Linked DNA regions of Schizosaccharomyces pombe. The protein of the gene in region 1 purifies or fractionates together with the protein of each later gene. This does not show direct contact. Each region holds a gene or a part of one and is shown in the gene's direction. Other genes may lie near its edges. The genes, in order: tra1, taf9, sgf29 and rvb1.

Region 1 (5,059 bases):
CAGCACTGAATGGACATGCTGAAATTTGCAAATTACTACTGGAAGCGGGAGGTGATCCTCATATTAAGAATATTTATGAGAAGTCACCTATATATGAAGCTGATATTCGAAATCAGCAAAAAGTAATGGACCTTTTTCTGGATTTTGAGATTGCTAAAGGTAGTGAAGAAAACACTGGTGATGAAGAAAAATTGGAAGATGGAATATGATCGTTTTATTTGATAATTTCTGATTTTTATTTTGTAAAAAAATTTACCTCTTTCTTTTGTAGGTTGTGGGAAGCTAATATTTTTATGCACCTGATGCATTTTTTTTTTCTTTTGGAGCATAATTTGGGGTTATTCTTATATTTTGTTAAGTTTTTTACTGTGTAATTTCTAGATGTTTTCTCAATATAATTCGTTTTCAGCGATGTACGTTGCCATGTATCTGTGTAGAAAGTTCAAGTGATGTTTATTAAAAGATGGATTATCTCAATAGACAAAATGTTTATCTTCCATCATTTACAGATAGAAATTGAATTGGAAAAGTGCTTTCATTTTTGTTTAAACCTTGTAATTAAACCTATGTAGCGTTATACGTTGGAATAGAAAGAGAAAAGCCTACCGGTTGCGTTCAAAAATGGAACAAAACTTTATTTCTAGATTTTATCAGGTTCGTTATTCATGGCAATCTAATCAAATATACAATTCATGGTTATAATCCCAAGGTTTTACGAGCCAATCGTCGAACTACACGACAATATTCTTCTCGATCTTCTCTCCACATCTTGCACGCATCGATGTTAGCACCACTTTCATCGTTTGGTTCCGCCAACATCGACATTACCGATAACAGTATTTTTTCAACAGATTGAACAGGAGACCAACGTTCTGAAGACGACTCATACATATTTGGATCGTCACCAGGTGCATGTAGGATGGAAATGCAAACCGTCCCATCTTTGTAAACTGAAATGAAGGTTAGTCTCGAAATTTGGATTAATAGTATCTGGCATACCATTTGGATGGAAAAATTCACACTCAAACTTTAAAGTAGGGGGGCCAAGAGGATAATCCTACATAAAAAAGTTAGAATCCAATAAAAATAAAACTAAGCACGTATCAACGTGCGCTTGAACACCCCGGATGTACTGCCATGCGATTCAAAGAAAGAAACCAAACCCCCAAAAAAAAACTTAGATAGATCTTTTAAATAAAATTTCTTCCTACTCATCAATAAATCGAAGGATTCATCAATTACTAATGAATAAAAGCACTTCTCTTAAATGATCATTCTAAACGAATGGATTATTGAGTTACTTTCTTTATTTACGCTGAACAAATGTTAATTTATGAAAAAGAGCGCGTATTTTTTAATAAGTAGTTGATACATAAAACATGCGAAACATCATACTTATCCACAACTTAAATCACATGTTCAGTCTCCATCAGGTTTATAGTAAAGGACTTACGGAAGGAAATTTCAAGGTAGCAGGGTATAACCCACCTTCAAATGGAGTTCCATCAGGGCCTTGAATTAGGCAATCCCAAGTAAAGAAATCATCCTCATTCGATGGACCTGCAGTAATACCATCAGGCCCATTCTCCGTTAACTCCTTATACTCCTTCATTAACCGTCGCAACGCCATAGCTTTACTCATTTTGGAAATCAATTAACTTACTAATCGGTAAGATATATTAAAGATCACTGACTAAAAGGTAGCCTAAAAATGGTAATGAACAGATTAATGAATGAATGGTTTGTTTACGACAAATTATGCAGCTGAGGCTAAACGAACTTTTGTGGTATCACTCGCTATTTTTATCTCGTTCATCATTTTAGCAACTTCTACCGCACAAAATAATAAGGCCGTTAATTAAAATAGCGAAAACATGTAAAATTCATAAAGTGATTTAGAGGAAAGAAATGCAGCTTGCTCTATCCCACAACATTCCAATAGTAATTGTTAAATACTTAGGAAAACGTATCCGAGTGCAATTGGAATTTAAAAAAGAGCTTGCGCAGAGATCCAAGCATCTGATGGATGTATCACAATGCGAACATTGGCATAATCGGCTTTGTGATGTTGGATTAGACTCGAAGCAAAAGGCAAACACAGCAATTGAAATTCGAGATGCACTGGATGATGTGTTGGTAACTGAAAAGACGAATTTTGAAACTTTCATTCCTCTTTTGGAGGACACGTTGTCTTTGCTTGAAAAGGAACGTCCTGTATTTTCATCGTTAGCAGCTACACATCGTTTACGCATTGCATTGCTTGAATTGCTCAAGAAATCTGGATCCTATAAAGGTTTTGAAGCATTCGTTAATCGGACTTTTGCCGTGCTTCTTCGTATAGTCGTTAATGATAATGAAGAGATGGCAGTGTTGGCATTGAAGCTTGTTGTCCTTCTTTTTAAGGACCACAGTAGCCTTGCTAAGGGACATGTTCAGGAATTTTTATCCATTGTCGTTGAAAACTACAAATCCATGACCACAGTTGTTTCAGAAGCTTTCCCACCTAGATCAGCTCCGAATACTCCATCCTCTCATCCCATGTCTGCTGCATCTTCTGCATCTCCTGCTGAAATTGGAATGGAACATGCAGGTCCAAAAATGATCCCAAAAGCTTCTTCGAGTTTCAAGGTCACTGCTGAATTTCCCATTATCGTCTTTCTCCTATTTCAAACATACAAAGATCTTATTCCGAAAATGCTTCCTTTACTTGCTCCGCTTGTACTTCAATTTATCTCACTTCGTCCTCCACCTCAAGCCGAAGCTCGTCGACTTGCAGAATCTCAAAAAGAGGTTTTTATTGGTGTAGTCCCTTCTTTGCGTCGAAATCATCTTTACAATGACCTTATTTCTGCGCAAATTAAATCATTCTCTTTTCTCGCCTATTTATTGAGAAGTTTTGGTGCTGCTCTTAAACAGTTTGAAAGCTCGATCCCAATATGTACCTTGCAATTGTTCATGGACTGTCCTTCCGAATTATATCAGACTCGAAGAGAACTTTTGGTAGCTACAAGGCACGTCTTATCGACGGATTATTTGAGAGGGTTTCTACCGTATGTAGATCAACTACTTGATACCAAAATTCTAGTTGGTTCTGGAATCACTTCTCAGCATTCATTACGACCCATGGCTTTTAGCATGCTGGCAGATATGCTTCATTATGTGCGTATGGAATTAAGTCCACAACAAATTTACAAAGTCATACTTCTTTATTTCAGTATTTTGATGGACGACTTTTATACTTCAGCTATTCAGGCAATGGCTACAAAGCTTATTTTAAACTTGGTTGAAAGAATTGTTGCACTAGAAGATTTTTCCACTAGCCGATCACTTCTATTTGCTATACTTTTATGTCTCTTAAGAAAATTGACTTCTCTGAATTTCGAGTTTATGAAGCTGAGAGATTCTTTACAGGAAAATGCTGACTTAAAGCAAATTAAAATAGAAGAAAATAAACATGATCTTCCTATGTTTGAGAACCCTACTGGAGCTGCCCAACCTTCAGGTTTGGATAAGCTAAAAGATTGCATATTTCTTTTTAAAAACACCTTATTAGGTATTAAGCCTGTTTTGTTTGGACTAAAGCAACGAAATATTCCTCTTGCCAACGGTTCCATTTTTACAGCTCAGGAATGGTCTGAAAAGTTACATCTTAGTTCAACTAATGAAGTTTTACTGTTTCGAAGATTACTTGTGGAAAGTTTAAAGGGATTCAGTTATTACCAGACAGATGAAAAAACCGGTGTATTCAAGTCCTCGAAAAATCTTGCATACTCTCAACTTGATTCTTCGTTGACCACAAACCCTTCTAAACTCTTAGAAGAGAAGGAGCTCTTAGAAATGTTAGCAACTTTATTTTTACACTTGGACCCATCTGTTTTCGTCGAAATTTTGGAATCCGAGTTTCCGAATATATTTGAGTGTCTAGTAGATAATCTTGCTTTATTGCATATTTTCCAATTTTGGATGTCTAATGAAGTTACTTCTGTCAACTGCACGGGCATCGTGCTGTCTTTTTGCTGTGACAATCTAGCTAAAATAGGGTCTGGCCAATCCACTCGGGTTTCTGTTTTATTGCGATTATTCAAGTTGGCCTTTATGACTGTGAATGTTTTTCCCGAAAAAAATGCAGAAGTCCTGCGTCCCCATATATCCTATATCATTTCAACTAGCCTCGAATTGACTACTGATGCTGTTGAACCTTTAAATTACGTTTATTTAATGAAAGCTTTGTTTAGAAATATCAGTGGAGGAAAATTTGATTCTCTTTACAAGGAAATACTACCACTTCTCCAAGTAATGCTAGAATGTTTCAACAGATTGATTTTTACTGTTACGTCTACATCCCAAAAAGAGCTGTATGCGGAACTTTGTTTGACTTTACCCATTAGACTCAGTGTGTTGTTGCCTCATATGAATTTTTTAATGAAGCCATTGATTGTTGCATTAAAAGGCCCCCCTGAAATAGCTAGTCAAGGGCTTCGAATATTTGAACTTTGCTTGGATAATCTTACTCAAGAATTTTTGGATCCTTTATTGGACTCAATTATGCCGGATTTGCTGATATGCCTGTGGAATCATTCACGCCTTAATCAATCCAATAATCAATTGCATCAAAGTGCTGTGAGAATATTAGGAAAAATGGGTGGTCGAAATAGACAAATATATCTTGGTACCTTTGGCTTTGATTTTTTGCAAGATGAAAATATTTTTCCTTCAATCCAGTTTTCTTTCCAAGGCTCCTCTCAGAATTTTAGCTTAGAGCACTCCAAATTTTTAATGTCTTCATGTGCTGTTTTAAACAATCAAAATTCCGATTTAGAAGAAAAGAAGCAAGCATTTCAAATGGTCAAGAATTCGTATTTATTACTCTTTGCGTCTGCGAAGCCCGATGAAGACTTTTGGGAATCTATTGATACAATGTGCCGAGCAGTTGTAGATCGCATGGATAAAAACTTACAGCAAGTCTCTAATGGTAGGTTGTGCCCTGACAAAGATGAATCTTATTATCTGCAAAGATCTATTGTCTCAAACATTTTTAAATCTTTAGTCGGCTCAATGT
Region 2 (3,663 bases), on another chromosome or scaffold:
GTTCATATATCGCCCAGGAAATATTATAGGAGGTCGTGTAGTCCATGATTGTCCAACTACCAAAGGGATAGGCTATTTTTTGGAACCAATTCTAATACTTTGTCTTTTTGCAAAAACCCCTACTTCACTTACTCTTACTGGAGTTACTTCCAGTAATGAAGATATTGGTGTCGATGTTTTGCGCACTAGTGTATTACCCTCTCTTCAAAAGCGTTTTCAAGTTGGTGATGAACTTGAGTTGCGCATATTAAAGCGTGGTTCTGCTCCTGGCGGAGGAGGTGAAGTGAATTTTTTATGTCCTGTAATTAAAGAGTCTTTACCTCCCATTCGTCTCTCAGAATTTGGAAGAGTCTTCCGAATCAGAGGAATTGCTTCTTCAACTAGAGTATCTCCCGCTTTTGCAAATCGCTTAGTAGAATCTGCTCGCGGAGTTTTAAATCCTTTTATACCCGATGTTTTCATTTATACAGACGTTCGCCGTGGAGATGAATGTGGTAACAGTCCTGGGTATTCTATCACTTTAGTTGCAGAAACTAATAAGGGTTGCTCTTATGCTGCCGAGCATTGTGGTGAAGCTGGAGAAACACCAGAAGATGTTGGTTCCTTTTGCGCAAAGAAATTATTGGAAGTTATTGAATCTGGTGGTTGTGTAGATCCATATACACAACCTTCAACTTTAACCGGGATGCTACTATCCTCTGAAGACGTTAACACAATAGTTGTGGGTCAACTTGGTATTACTTCGCAATTAGTTGTTTTTCTTCGGGATGTGAAGGCACTTTTCAATTGCGAATATAGATTTAAAGAGCTCGAATCAGGCCAGGTGGAGATGTCATGCTTAGGAAAAGGATATTTAAATGTCAATCGCCGCATTCAATAGAAAACCATTTATCAGTGGGTCCTTTGCTCGTTTATTCTTCTTAAACATCATAACATTACATTTAACATATTGTTCGGGTACTTAAAATGAACGAACGTCTTTTTGATATATATTTACTCTTTAATCGTACTAAGAAGTTCATTACCCATTAACTTCCCATTGCAATTACGACATGAGTATAAAAAAAAAGCACCATACATATTTAGAGATTTAAATACGTTTTTGTGACTCAGTTGTTTTAACGGTCTTGTTATGTTCATTTTCAATTATGGTTTGAATTTTTTTGGTTTCCTTTAAATTACTTGGTTCTGTTTCTACTTCATTCTGCTTTAATATTTCTTTCCCGATGCCTCTTTTTCAGAAAATTAGTTCTTAGATGCTCTTCTCATTTGAAAATCTCAACCTTTTTCCATGTCCTTTTGTAAAAAAAAAACACTGCCAATTTTTAGTAAATTTGTATCATCATTGATTTTGTATGAATGATCCTGTTCGTTTTATTATTTACTAAATGAGAGTTTTTACTTTACGCTGCTTATACTAAAATTTTATGTAACTTCTAAATTATTAACATTGGTGATACTAAAAGCAACTTTGATAGGAATTGCTTTAATGAAATCATTCCTTCTGCATAAATTAAAGTTTGCTTAGATAAATTTTTATGACTCGAAATATTTAGTAATGTATATGTAAAATAGCATTGTTGTAAACTTTCTGAAACAAGCTATTTAGTGGTGTGCAGTGGACTCACGCTAACTTCTGAGTGGATACAATTTGCAACGCTCGCAACGACCATAAATCTTTTTGGGTGGTAAAACAGAAAAATAACGGGAGTCGTATTTGTCTTCGCATATACTTATAGTATTTAATAAATCATGAGTTCTCCAGGAATAAGTGATGAATCTATAAAAGGACCTAAGGACGTTCGTCTGATTCATCTAATACTTAGCTCTCTGGGTGTTCCATCATACTCTCAAACAGTGCCTTTGCAGTTGTTAACATTTGCACATAGATATACACAGCAGTTAATCCAGGATTCACAGGTTTATGCGGAACATTCACGTGGGCAAAATGCTCCAATTTCTGTAGAAGATGTACGTTTAGCTGTTGCTTCTCAAATCAATCACTCCTTCACTGGACCTCCACCAAAAGAATTTTTACTAGAGCTTGCTATGGAGAGAAATCGAAAACCTTTACCCCAAATTCAGCCGTCTTATGGGTTTCGTCTTCCACCGGAGAAGTACTGTTTAACTCAACCCAACTGGATTGTCAGTAATGAAACCCAACAGAATCAACCAAAGGAAGAGAACTCCTCGGATTCACGAATGGAGGAGGATAAACTTGACTTCTCTGTGAAGTCTGAATAAATTTATTTTCCTTTTAAAGTTGTTACTAATGCCGGGGAAGTGCTGATGATTTAGATATATGTAAATATTTTTGAAGCGCTCACGAATCTTTGCAGCAGATGATTATGGTTTTATTTATATGATTTTGTTCCTCCAGAACTTCCTATTTAACTTGCGAAAGCAGGGCGTGGGTAATAAATCGTTTACAGTTATAAGGTACCTGTTTATTTGTTTATTTGCTACGAAATCAGTGTATGGAGCAAAAAAGTATACAACATTTTTAAATTCAGCTCATATTGTACATTACTGTACACTGTATCTTTTATATATGGTACGACATAGAATAGAAAAAAGTGAAAGAGACGGCAACAACATCAGTGACGGCGCGCTTTTTCTTAAAATGTTACAAAAACTGGAGTAATTCATGTAAGGCTGTGAAATTGGCATGAGCTCGTCGAGAGCTTTCTTCAACTACTAGGCTCATTTAAAATTTACACCGCACCAATGTTTCTTTATTACTTACAATTGCCTCTCATCATAACTTTGAAAATACAATTTACCACAATACTAGTGATAACATAATATCATGCATTTTAATTTTCTTTATATGACCTATACAGATCCCCTAAAAAGAATATAGTAGGGATACTCGCACGACAGCTAAAAATATATAAGTTATATAATAATTTTGAATCAGAAGGAAGGCAACGGAAATATCCACACATTTTTTGCGCTCTCGGACATATATTTCATCCGCGTTATTTTCATCATTTTCAAAATCATTTATCTCTCACATACTTCAACCATTTCAAAGCTCACCACAAACCTGTATAGGAAATATAAAGAAACTTGATGCTTTACGTAAACACAATTCAGAACTTACAAAAACACAAAAGTGAAAACTTGGTATTTAAGTCGAAAGTCATACCATTCGTAAAAAGAGTGAAATTATAATGTGTAATAAACACAAGGTAAAACATTATGTTCATTAAACAAAATCAGGAGTTTGATTGTACAATTAGCAACCATATGAGAATAGCCGAATGAAAAGTTTCAAAACAATAAGTATCCATTAACAGAAGTATGACCCATTAACTAGTTTTGAAACTAAAGAATTTTACGAAGGTCAACAACATAATGCAAAATTAAAGCCAATTTCTCTGAATGGATTTAAATCATCATAATCATAAGCTTTTAATAAATTGTAAAAATTTAAAAAACCACGTCGGCATTTTTTTGATACCTTACATCATACCGGGCATTCCACCCATGCCACCCATTCCGGGAGGACCAGCAGGGGCCTTGGACTCTTCAGGAGCATCGACGATGGCACATTCGGTGGTACCCATTAATGAGGCGACTCCACTAGCATCAACTAAACCGGTACGTACGACCTTTAGGGGATCCAAAACACCAATTTCATTTAAATCAACAAAACGA
Region 3 (3,728 bases), 520 kb from region 1:
GGCTTCTGAAATGGATGTTATCAACACTCGCATTGTCAATCCAACTGGTGAACTGCTCAAGATTGTTAAGGATGTAGATAAGCTTTTGTTGAAACGCGATCATAAGCAGCTGGATTATGATCGTCATCGTTCATCTTTCAAGAAACTTCAGGAAAAGAAGGATAAAAGCCTTAAAGATGAGAAGAAGCTTTATGAAGCTGAAACCGCCTTTGAACAATCTTCCCAAGAATATGAATATTATAATGAAATGCTGAAGGAGGAGTTACCTAAACTATTTGCATTGGCTCAGAGCTTCATTGCTCCCTTATTCCAAGGATTTTACTATATGCAATTAAATGTCTATTACGTTCTTTATGAAAAGATGAGTCACTGCGAAATTCAGTACTTTGATTTCAATACCGATATTTTGGAATCGTACGAAAGAAGACGCGGCGATGTTAAAGATCGCGCAGAGGCTTTGACGATTACTAAATTTAAGACCGCTAAACCGACGTATAAACGACCGGGTATGGGACCGGGTGGTAAAGATGCAACTGCTTCTTCTTCTTCTTCCTTTTCGTCAAAGCGTGAAGAAGCAGCAGCCGAACCCTCCTCTTCGACAGCTACGGATATTCCACCCCCATACTCAACGCCATCGGTTGCCGGAGCTTCCGATTATTCTACCCCAAGTGCAGGTTATCAAACTGTTCAGACGACCACTACTACAACTGAAGCAGCAGCTGCTCAATACCCTCAAGCGGCCTTTCCTCCCCCTCCAGTTATGCCTCAACCTGCTGCTGCGGCAGTGACCACACCTGTTGCTGCACCGGTAGCAGCAGCTGCAGCCGCAGTTCCCGTACCTCCACCAGCGCCTGCACCTGCTGCGGCTCCCGCCGCAGAGCATGTTGTTGCTTTATATGATTATGCTGCCCAAGCAGCCGGAGATTTATCTTTTCATGCTGGCGATCGTATCGAAGTTGTTTCACGTACTGATAATCAAAATGTAAGTACTTAAACTTAAATTTTCATTTTTTTCTTATTAAACAAGGACTTTACTAATATATATTTTAGGAATGGTGGATTGGCCGACTTAACGGTGCACAAGGTCAATTTCCTGGTAATTATGTTCAGCTTGAATAAAGCGTTTTTAAATTTACCTAGATGTGTCTTAAAATCTCGCTGCCTACTGAAGTCAATATAGAAGCTTGATTATAGGACTTGTTGTTACAGGTTACTGTTTGTGTGCGCGCTTCAACAAGTTTTACACTGCTATTCAATTTCTATCAATTTTGTCGTTCTAACTATGATGCTTAAATTTAGACATGTATTCCATACATCATCATCTCCAGTGATAATTTAACACTGTCTATGTTTGAATACTGGCTTTTTATCAACGTGTTTCCTTACTGACGTGTACTTCAAAGAGTAGCACATTTTTTGAAATGTTTTGAATAACGTAAACTTATATATATTAATTACGTTTAACTGTTTTTATTTTAATTTAACTAGTCTATCAACAAAGCTGTCCTTTCTTATATCTATACTTTAACAGTGCTAGCTAGGATTGAAGCAAAACATGATTCGAACTAGAGCTTTCATTGTGATATTGAATTTTTTGGGATTTGTAGTTTCAACAGTATAACAATCGGAATTGATGTATTCTAGCAGGAAATATACGACATACAGTATTTAGAGTCGTTGCTAAACGAGAATCGTTTAACGAACTTCGTTAACAGACAGTATTCCATGACTTAAGTGAATAGTTAACTACGTAACCTAATGCAGCAACGATACGGTAAATACAATATCGAGTGTTAATGAAATTTGTAATAAAGTAATTTGCATAGCTGATAGTATCATGCAAATCAATCTAGTAAGTGAGTTAGCACCTACCAAAGGAAATTGGATGATGAAAAGTGTTGTTTGAGAATATCAGTTACAGGATATTATGGTACGCCCCATAAATGCTGAAGAGGATGTGACATCCATGTGGGTTAAATTTCATGAAAGCCTAAATCCCATTCGGTCTAGTTTAATAAAACAAGAAGAATGTTATAAAACGGTTGATGGCGACGATAATCCAATTGAAGAAAGAATTAAAGCGTGTGACGCGGGAATTCAAACCTCTGAAGAACAGAAAAAAGAATTGGAGCATACAATGCAATCTCTTGAGATGATTATTAATGTACTCGAAAAAGCCAATGAAAAACCTGTAATTACAAATAGTCCTTTGACGAGAAGTCGTCGAAACCGAGGAACAAGCTTTACAGCAAATACAGTAACCTTTACACCTGGCATGTCTGTAGCTTTCAAGTTACCATACACGAGGCATAACGAGGGAGGTGATTGGATTCAATGTATCATTATTAAAGTGACTGGAGAAGGAGCAAAACAGAGGTGAGTTTTCAAAAGCAAATATTGTCAGTCGCGAGTTCAAATTTACTTCTAAGCTTATATGTTGATAATATTTTTTTACCAGTATATTAACAAAACCATAGATTTGAAGTGCAGGATCCAGAACCGGATGATGACGGTAATGCAGGTCAAATTTATAAAACTACAGCTAATCATCTTATACAAATTCCTGCAAAAGGAACTCCTTTACCCCCAATAAGCCCAAAAACAAATGTTTTAGCTCGATATCCTGAAACTACTACGTTTTATCGGGCAGAAGTCATTCGCACTCTGCCTGATGGATCATGTAAACTTCGATTTGAAGGAGAAGAGGAAGTTGGGAAAGAAACAGTGGTAGAGCGTCATTTGGTGTTAGAGTACAATGGTTAAAACTGGAACGTTTTACTCAGATTTTTTAGGAGGTATTAGTTAAAGGTTATTTTTATTCACTTCGATATTAGGTTCACAGCATTTAAAAAAATTGATGACATTATCTGTAATATGCATAACTCAGATTTAACATTTTTTTTATTCATTGTGATGTTGAGTTGTTCCTTATATTTTATATATTAATGGCGTTAACGCATGTTAATAACTTAAGCCAAGACAAGGGCTCATTCAAAGTACTTGCTTCTATCGTGTTGCACATCTAACATTGCTAATGTACGCCAAATCTGCTTGCTTCCTTGACATTTTGCAAGGAATCTAATTTTAAAAAATAGTAGTAACATGACAGTCTAGAAAAAATTTCAAACACCTATAGAGGAAACTGAATACTAAAACTAAGTTCATTTAACGAGTATCTCCTATTAAATTATTCATAAAAATAAACAAAATAGAAAAATTGTATATGTATGAATCCTTTGGTTAATGGACTCTGAGATAAAGAAATGTAGCAACCCGGTATATATAGTTAACGCATTTATAGTTACCAACGCTATGAGGGCATTAAGGGTTTGAGTAGCTGCTCTTCTGGTTACATTATGACTGCGTATTTATGGTGGACGTGAATATGGCACCAAGCACAGCTTTGTTTTCAGAACCAAACATTATACTCCTTTCAGAGTTATATTCTGTTTGCTGGCTCATATATTCAAGGAGTCTTTTGTTTAATTCTCAACGATCTTTAAGTTTGGTTTTATTTTATTCTTTTATTCAAAGGGACAATTAATATTCACGTCTCTCTAATTGACCTCCTGGCGCAACGTGCTCGTTTAATTAAACTCTTTCACTATGTTTTCAAATTCTAAAAAAAAAATTTTTCTTTACGTGCTAATTGCCGGTGTTGCTACTTTTTCCTTTGCTTTTCTTGTACTAAATCGTCTACAGGCCGAAGAACATTCACTCGCCTACGT
Region 4 (4,166 bases), on another chromosome or scaffold:
CATCAGAATCGGATCGTGTTCTGATGGCTCCAATTTTTGCAAACAAATCAGAGTCATTCGTAGACTAACAGCATCTGTATAATCCACTGATTTTTTTGACAACCCATCCAAAATTTGATAAACAAGAAGAATGGAATTTGTGCTTCGTTGTCCAACAATTAATACGCAGGACCTACATAGCCTTTCGACGAGAGTCATTGGCCAATGTGTAGAAGAACAAAGCACACGAATAAGAACCAAACTATTATTAAGCTTTTGGACTTCTGCAGGAGTTTTGGGCTTTTTGGCAGTAGCGAGCGACTCCAAAAGACGAAGTGGCTCGAATGCAGTATATTTTATAGCAGGATGCTCCGTTACAGGACCTGCCGGAGGATTTTTTAATATGTTGGCCAGAATTTGCAAAGAACGTACTCTCGTCTTCTCAGTATTGGACAATGCAAAGAATAATAAAATATAGATAGAAGTTTTGCAAGAATTGCCATGAGTCCAAGAGCTATAATCCTGAAGAAGTAAAAGCTTCTCCAAAACATTAAGATAGGGGAGAAGGACGGTTTTATTGGTTTCTGCATTATTTACAACTGGAGCAAGGACAGACAAGATCTGGGGAAATTTTGCTTGCAGAACATTAGAGGGCACATACTTAATAACCAATTCCAGTAGTTGAAACGTGTGTCCCTTAAAATTTTTCTTTAAGTCCGTGAATTCCTTAACTAAAGTTAGAAGGGCCACCAAATAAGCAGTTGGTGTCGCCTCAGTTTTTTGCTCCTTCAACGTCCCCTCCACTGCACTAACGATTACATCGAATTCGTTTATGACACCTGCAGTGGAGCTGTTTCGAATCTTTCGAAGTTCAATTTGCAATGGTTCATTCACTTCAGCCATGAATTTTTAACCTGCCCAAACTTTCCCTGTAGGATGGTGTGAAAGACAACTCCACATCAGTGCGAAATTCACAGATATGTTCGCAGTGCATTGCACATCGTTATTTGTTTGGCGAAAAAAGATTGTGAAATTAGGAAATTTCCTTACCAATCTTTTGATGGATCACGATGTGTGGCAGGTTAAGTTTAAATTTATTGATAAACATTAATTCGCTGTTGCTAGACGGAATTGCGGGTATTTTCCTGGTACATGAGAAAATTGAGATGTAAACAAATGATTCCCAAGTTATTACCGTTTATATTCATTTATTTATCTGTCGCTAATAAAATTATGTTTTATTGTATCTTAAATGAGCGAGCGTTTAAGCACTACAAAACCTATCGAAGGATTACAGATTGCCCGGAGATTAAAAATAAAAAAAGCAGAAGAAAAAATCAGCGAAACAGTAGTAGCATCGGATTAAGCAATCCAAACAAGTTTTCAATATATATATATATATATTTTTTTTTTTATTCGTTTTTATGCTCACCGTATTTATTTAAATATATATCGCTATTCTAGGATGGTAGTTAATCAACATATGGGATGTATGTAAATAAGAAAATTATAATTCATTAATAAATCAAGAATAACTTTTTGAAAACATTTAGATGTATTTGCGTTTATTACTTAAGTACTCGTTATAACAGTTTTAGTTACTATTTTTTTTGCATCATATACAGTAAAATAGAATTCCTCAAAAATCGATTGTTAATTTCTGTTTAATTTTTTTTTTTAAAGAAAGAATACACCTCTTTGCTTTATTATTTCATTTCCTGTCTTTTTCATTACCTCAGCTCTACTTTCTTCTTATTTAACTTGGTACTATTTTGCTACACCCAACCCTAATGTCACATTTTGAAAGCAAGCTATCCTCAACCAACTACTTATAAAATGGTCCAAATCAGCGAGGTTAAGGGAAATGGCCGTGATAATAGGATTACTACACATTCACATATCAAAGGTTTAGGCCTAAAAGAAGATGGAACTTGTGAATCTGTTGGTGGAGGTTTCATTGGACAAGAAAAGGCTCGTGAGGTAAGCATTCCTGATAATTCTTTAATATAATGTATTCTAATATATTTTCTTAGGCTTGTGGCATCATCACTGATTTAATCAAGTCTAAAAAATTTGGTGGTAAAGGTGTATTGTTCGCTGGAGGTGCTGGTACTGGTAAAACAGCACTGGCCTTGGCGATTGCCCAAGAACTTGGTCCTAAAGTTCCTTTTTGTCCTATGGTGGGAAGTGAAGTCTACTCTAGTGAAATAAAGAAAACTGAGGCTTTAATGGAAAACTTTCGAAGGGCCATTGGTCTTCGGGTAAAGGAAACAAAAGAAGTGTATGAGGGTGAGGTTACAGAAATGGTTCCCGAAGAAGCCGAAAATCCTTTGGGCGGTTATGGAAAAACCATTTCACACGTCCTTTTGGGCCTCAAAACGCATAAGGGTACCAAACAGCTCAAATTAGATCCTAGCATTTACGAATCTTTACAAAGAGAACAAGTGTCAACCGGGGACGTTATTTACATAGAAGCCAATACAGGTGCCGTAAAGAGAGTGGGTCGTAGCGATGCGTATGCTACGGAGTTCGATTTAGAAGCGGAAGAATATGTTCCTATGCCTAAAGGTGAGGTACACAAGCGGAAAGAAATTGTTCAGGACGTGACTCTTCATGATTTGGATATTGCCAATGCCCGCCCTCAAGGAGGACAAGATATAATGTCTATGATGGGTCAGTTAATGAAGCCCAAGAAAACTGAAATCACCGATAAGCTTCGTGGTGAAATTAACAAGGTTGTCAACAAATATATCGAACAAGGAATCGCTGAACTTATTCCTGGTGTCTTGTTCATCGACGAGGTTCATATGTTAGACATTGAGTGCTTTACTTATCTCAACCAAGCCCTAGAAAGCACTATTTCTCCTATTGTTATCTTTGCCTCTAATCGAGGCATTTGTACCATTCGGGGTACTGAGGATATTCAAGCTCCCCATGGTATTCCTACGGATTTGCTTGACAGATTACTAATAGTTCGCACACTCCCCTATTCAGAGTCAGAAATTCGTTCCATTTTGCAGATACGTGCAAAAGTTGAAAACATCATCCTTACTGATGAGTGTTTGGACAAGCTGGCTCAAGAAGGTTCTCGTACTAGTCTCCGTTATGTTATACAACTGTTGACACCCGTTAGCATTATTGCCAGTTTGCATGGTAACAAAGAGATTGGTGTACAAGATATCGAAGAATGTAACGATCTTTTCTTAGATGCTCGCCGCTCCGCTCAAGTTGTTAAATCATCTTCAGGCTTCCTTCAATAAAAATATTATCCTTAATAACGATCTACCCTTACTTATTTCAACTTTTTGGTTATATGCGAAACTAGCTAGATTTACACAGGTTGTGAATATATATACCTTTTTATTTATAAACTTGTAAATTTTTTTTAAGCTTAACCAATTTCTTCTTTTTTTTATCCAGTTATATTCCTTCCATTCCGGCATTTATTTATACTGTAATCATTTATGAATACCTAAATAAAAGTCAGGATCAATGAATTTATTTAGAATTCAATACCTCCTAGGGTTTTTTTACATGCATGGAAAGACTGTATGAAGTACTTTGCAAAAGCTGCAATCATTCTGTAAATAAACTTAAAATATTATAAGAAGGTGAGTTCTTTTTTTTTTTTTTTTTTTTTTTTAAATTTGAGTTGAATGCTATTTATAAATCTTCTGTTCATTTTTGATTCCTACTTCCACGAAAGGACAAGCTGCCACTTGAGATAAGCAAGTGCTAAAGAACGAATAACAGGCAAAAAACTTCAACAGTAACTTCATAAAGCATGATAGACAAAAAGAGTAATACAACATTTGTAATACGCGGAAAAAAAATTCCCCATCTGCGATAACTGTTTCGTCGTCATTTTAGAAATTGATTATTTACATTGCAACACCATCGATTGAGCAATTTTATCAACACACACAGTACTCTTAGCGCACAGTAAGCAACCCCGTTTGTTATGATATATTAATATGCCTCGTTAGTTCGTCAATATACCACTTTACATAAGTGTGGCCAAAGTAAAGCAATAATGACGAGACCAGGAGGAAGGGCAACCCAATATAAGTTGAAGAGAAGACTTTGAATGCTTAACTATTAAGTGTACAAATGGCAGTTTTATCAAGAATTATGAAACCTTACAGGGCCTTTCAAAGGCTTCCTTTTGAGCTCAAACCTCTGGGTTA

What was found.
Region 2: the proteins of tra1 (region 1) and taf9 purify together in Schizosaccharomyces pombe (affinity purification with mass spectrometry, with the first as the bait; one study listed by BioGRID). This does not show direct contact.
Region 3: the proteins of tra1 (region 1) and sgf29 purify together in Schizosaccharomyces pombe (affinity purification with mass spectrometry, with the first as the bait; one study listed by BioGRID). This does not show direct contact.
Region 4: the proteins of tra1 (region 1) and rvb1 purify together in Schizosaccharomyces pombe (affinity purification with mass spectrometry, with the first as the bait; one study listed by BioGRID). This does not show direct contact.

Annotation. Positions count from the first base shown.
Region 1 is NC_003423.3:1,902,382-1,907,440, reverse strand, and holds the start of tra1 (SAGA complex, phosphatidylinositol pseudokinase subunit Tra1), read left to right. Parts: upstream 1-2,022; coding exon 2,023-5,059. Other genes in the region: ribosome biogenesis protein Yar1, read left to right, coding at 1-209; ubiquitin-conjugating enzyme Ubc7, read right to left, coding at 697-950, 1,000-1,057, 1,454-1,642. UniProt on the Schizosaccharomyces pombe protein: Essential scaffold subunit of the transcription coactivator SAGA complex. SAGA acts as a general cofactor required for essentially all RNA polymerase II transcription.
Region 2 is NC_003424.3:336,640-340,302, forward strand, and holds taf9 (SAGA complex/transcription factor TFIID complex subunit Taf9), read left to right. Parts: upstream 1-1,662; 5' UTR 1,663-1,752; coding exon 1,753-2,244; 3' UTR 2,245-3,124; downstream 3,125-3,663. Other genes in the region: rcl1 (rRNA processing protein), read left to right, coding at 1-880; protein Mcp60, read right to left, coding at 3,468-3,663. UniProt on the Schizosaccharomyces pombe protein: Functions as a component of both the DNA-binding general transcription initiation factor complex TFIID and the transcription coactivator SAGA complex.
Region 3 is NC_003423.3:2,418,181-2,421,908, reverse strand, and holds sgf29 (SAGA complex subunit Sgf29), read left to right. Parts: upstream 1-1,863; 5' UTR 1,864-1,927; coding exon 1,928-2,376; exon of another isoform or gene 2,377-2,477; coding exon 2,478-2,763; 3' UTR 2,764-3,171; downstream 3,172-3,728. Other genes in the region: BAR adaptor protein Hob1, read left to right, coding at 1-982, 1,051-1,119; pvg3 (galactosylxylosylprotein 3-beta-galactosyltransferase Pvg1), read left to right, coding at 3,607-3,728. UniProt on the Schizosaccharomyces pombe protein: Chromatin reader component of the transcription coactivator SAGA complex. SAGA acts as a general cofactor required for essentially all RNA polymerase II transcription.
Region 4 is NC_003424.3:4,922,449-4,926,614, forward strand, and holds rvb1 (chaperone, AAA family ATPase Rvb1), read left to right. Parts: upstream 1-1,798; 5' UTR 1,799-1,815; coding exon 1,816-1,959; exon of another isoform or gene 1,960-2,012; coding exon 2,013-3,239; 3' UTR 3,240-3,617; downstream 3,618-4,166. Other genes in the region: ribosome biogenesis protein Rrp12, read right to left, coding at 1-882; SPOM_SPAPB8E5.08 (uncharacterized protein), read left to right, coding at 1,132-1,443; protein Min8, read left to right, coding at 4,090-4,162. UniProt on the Schizosaccharomyces pombe protein: DNA helicase which participates in several chromatin remodeling complexes, including the SWR1 and the INO80 complexes.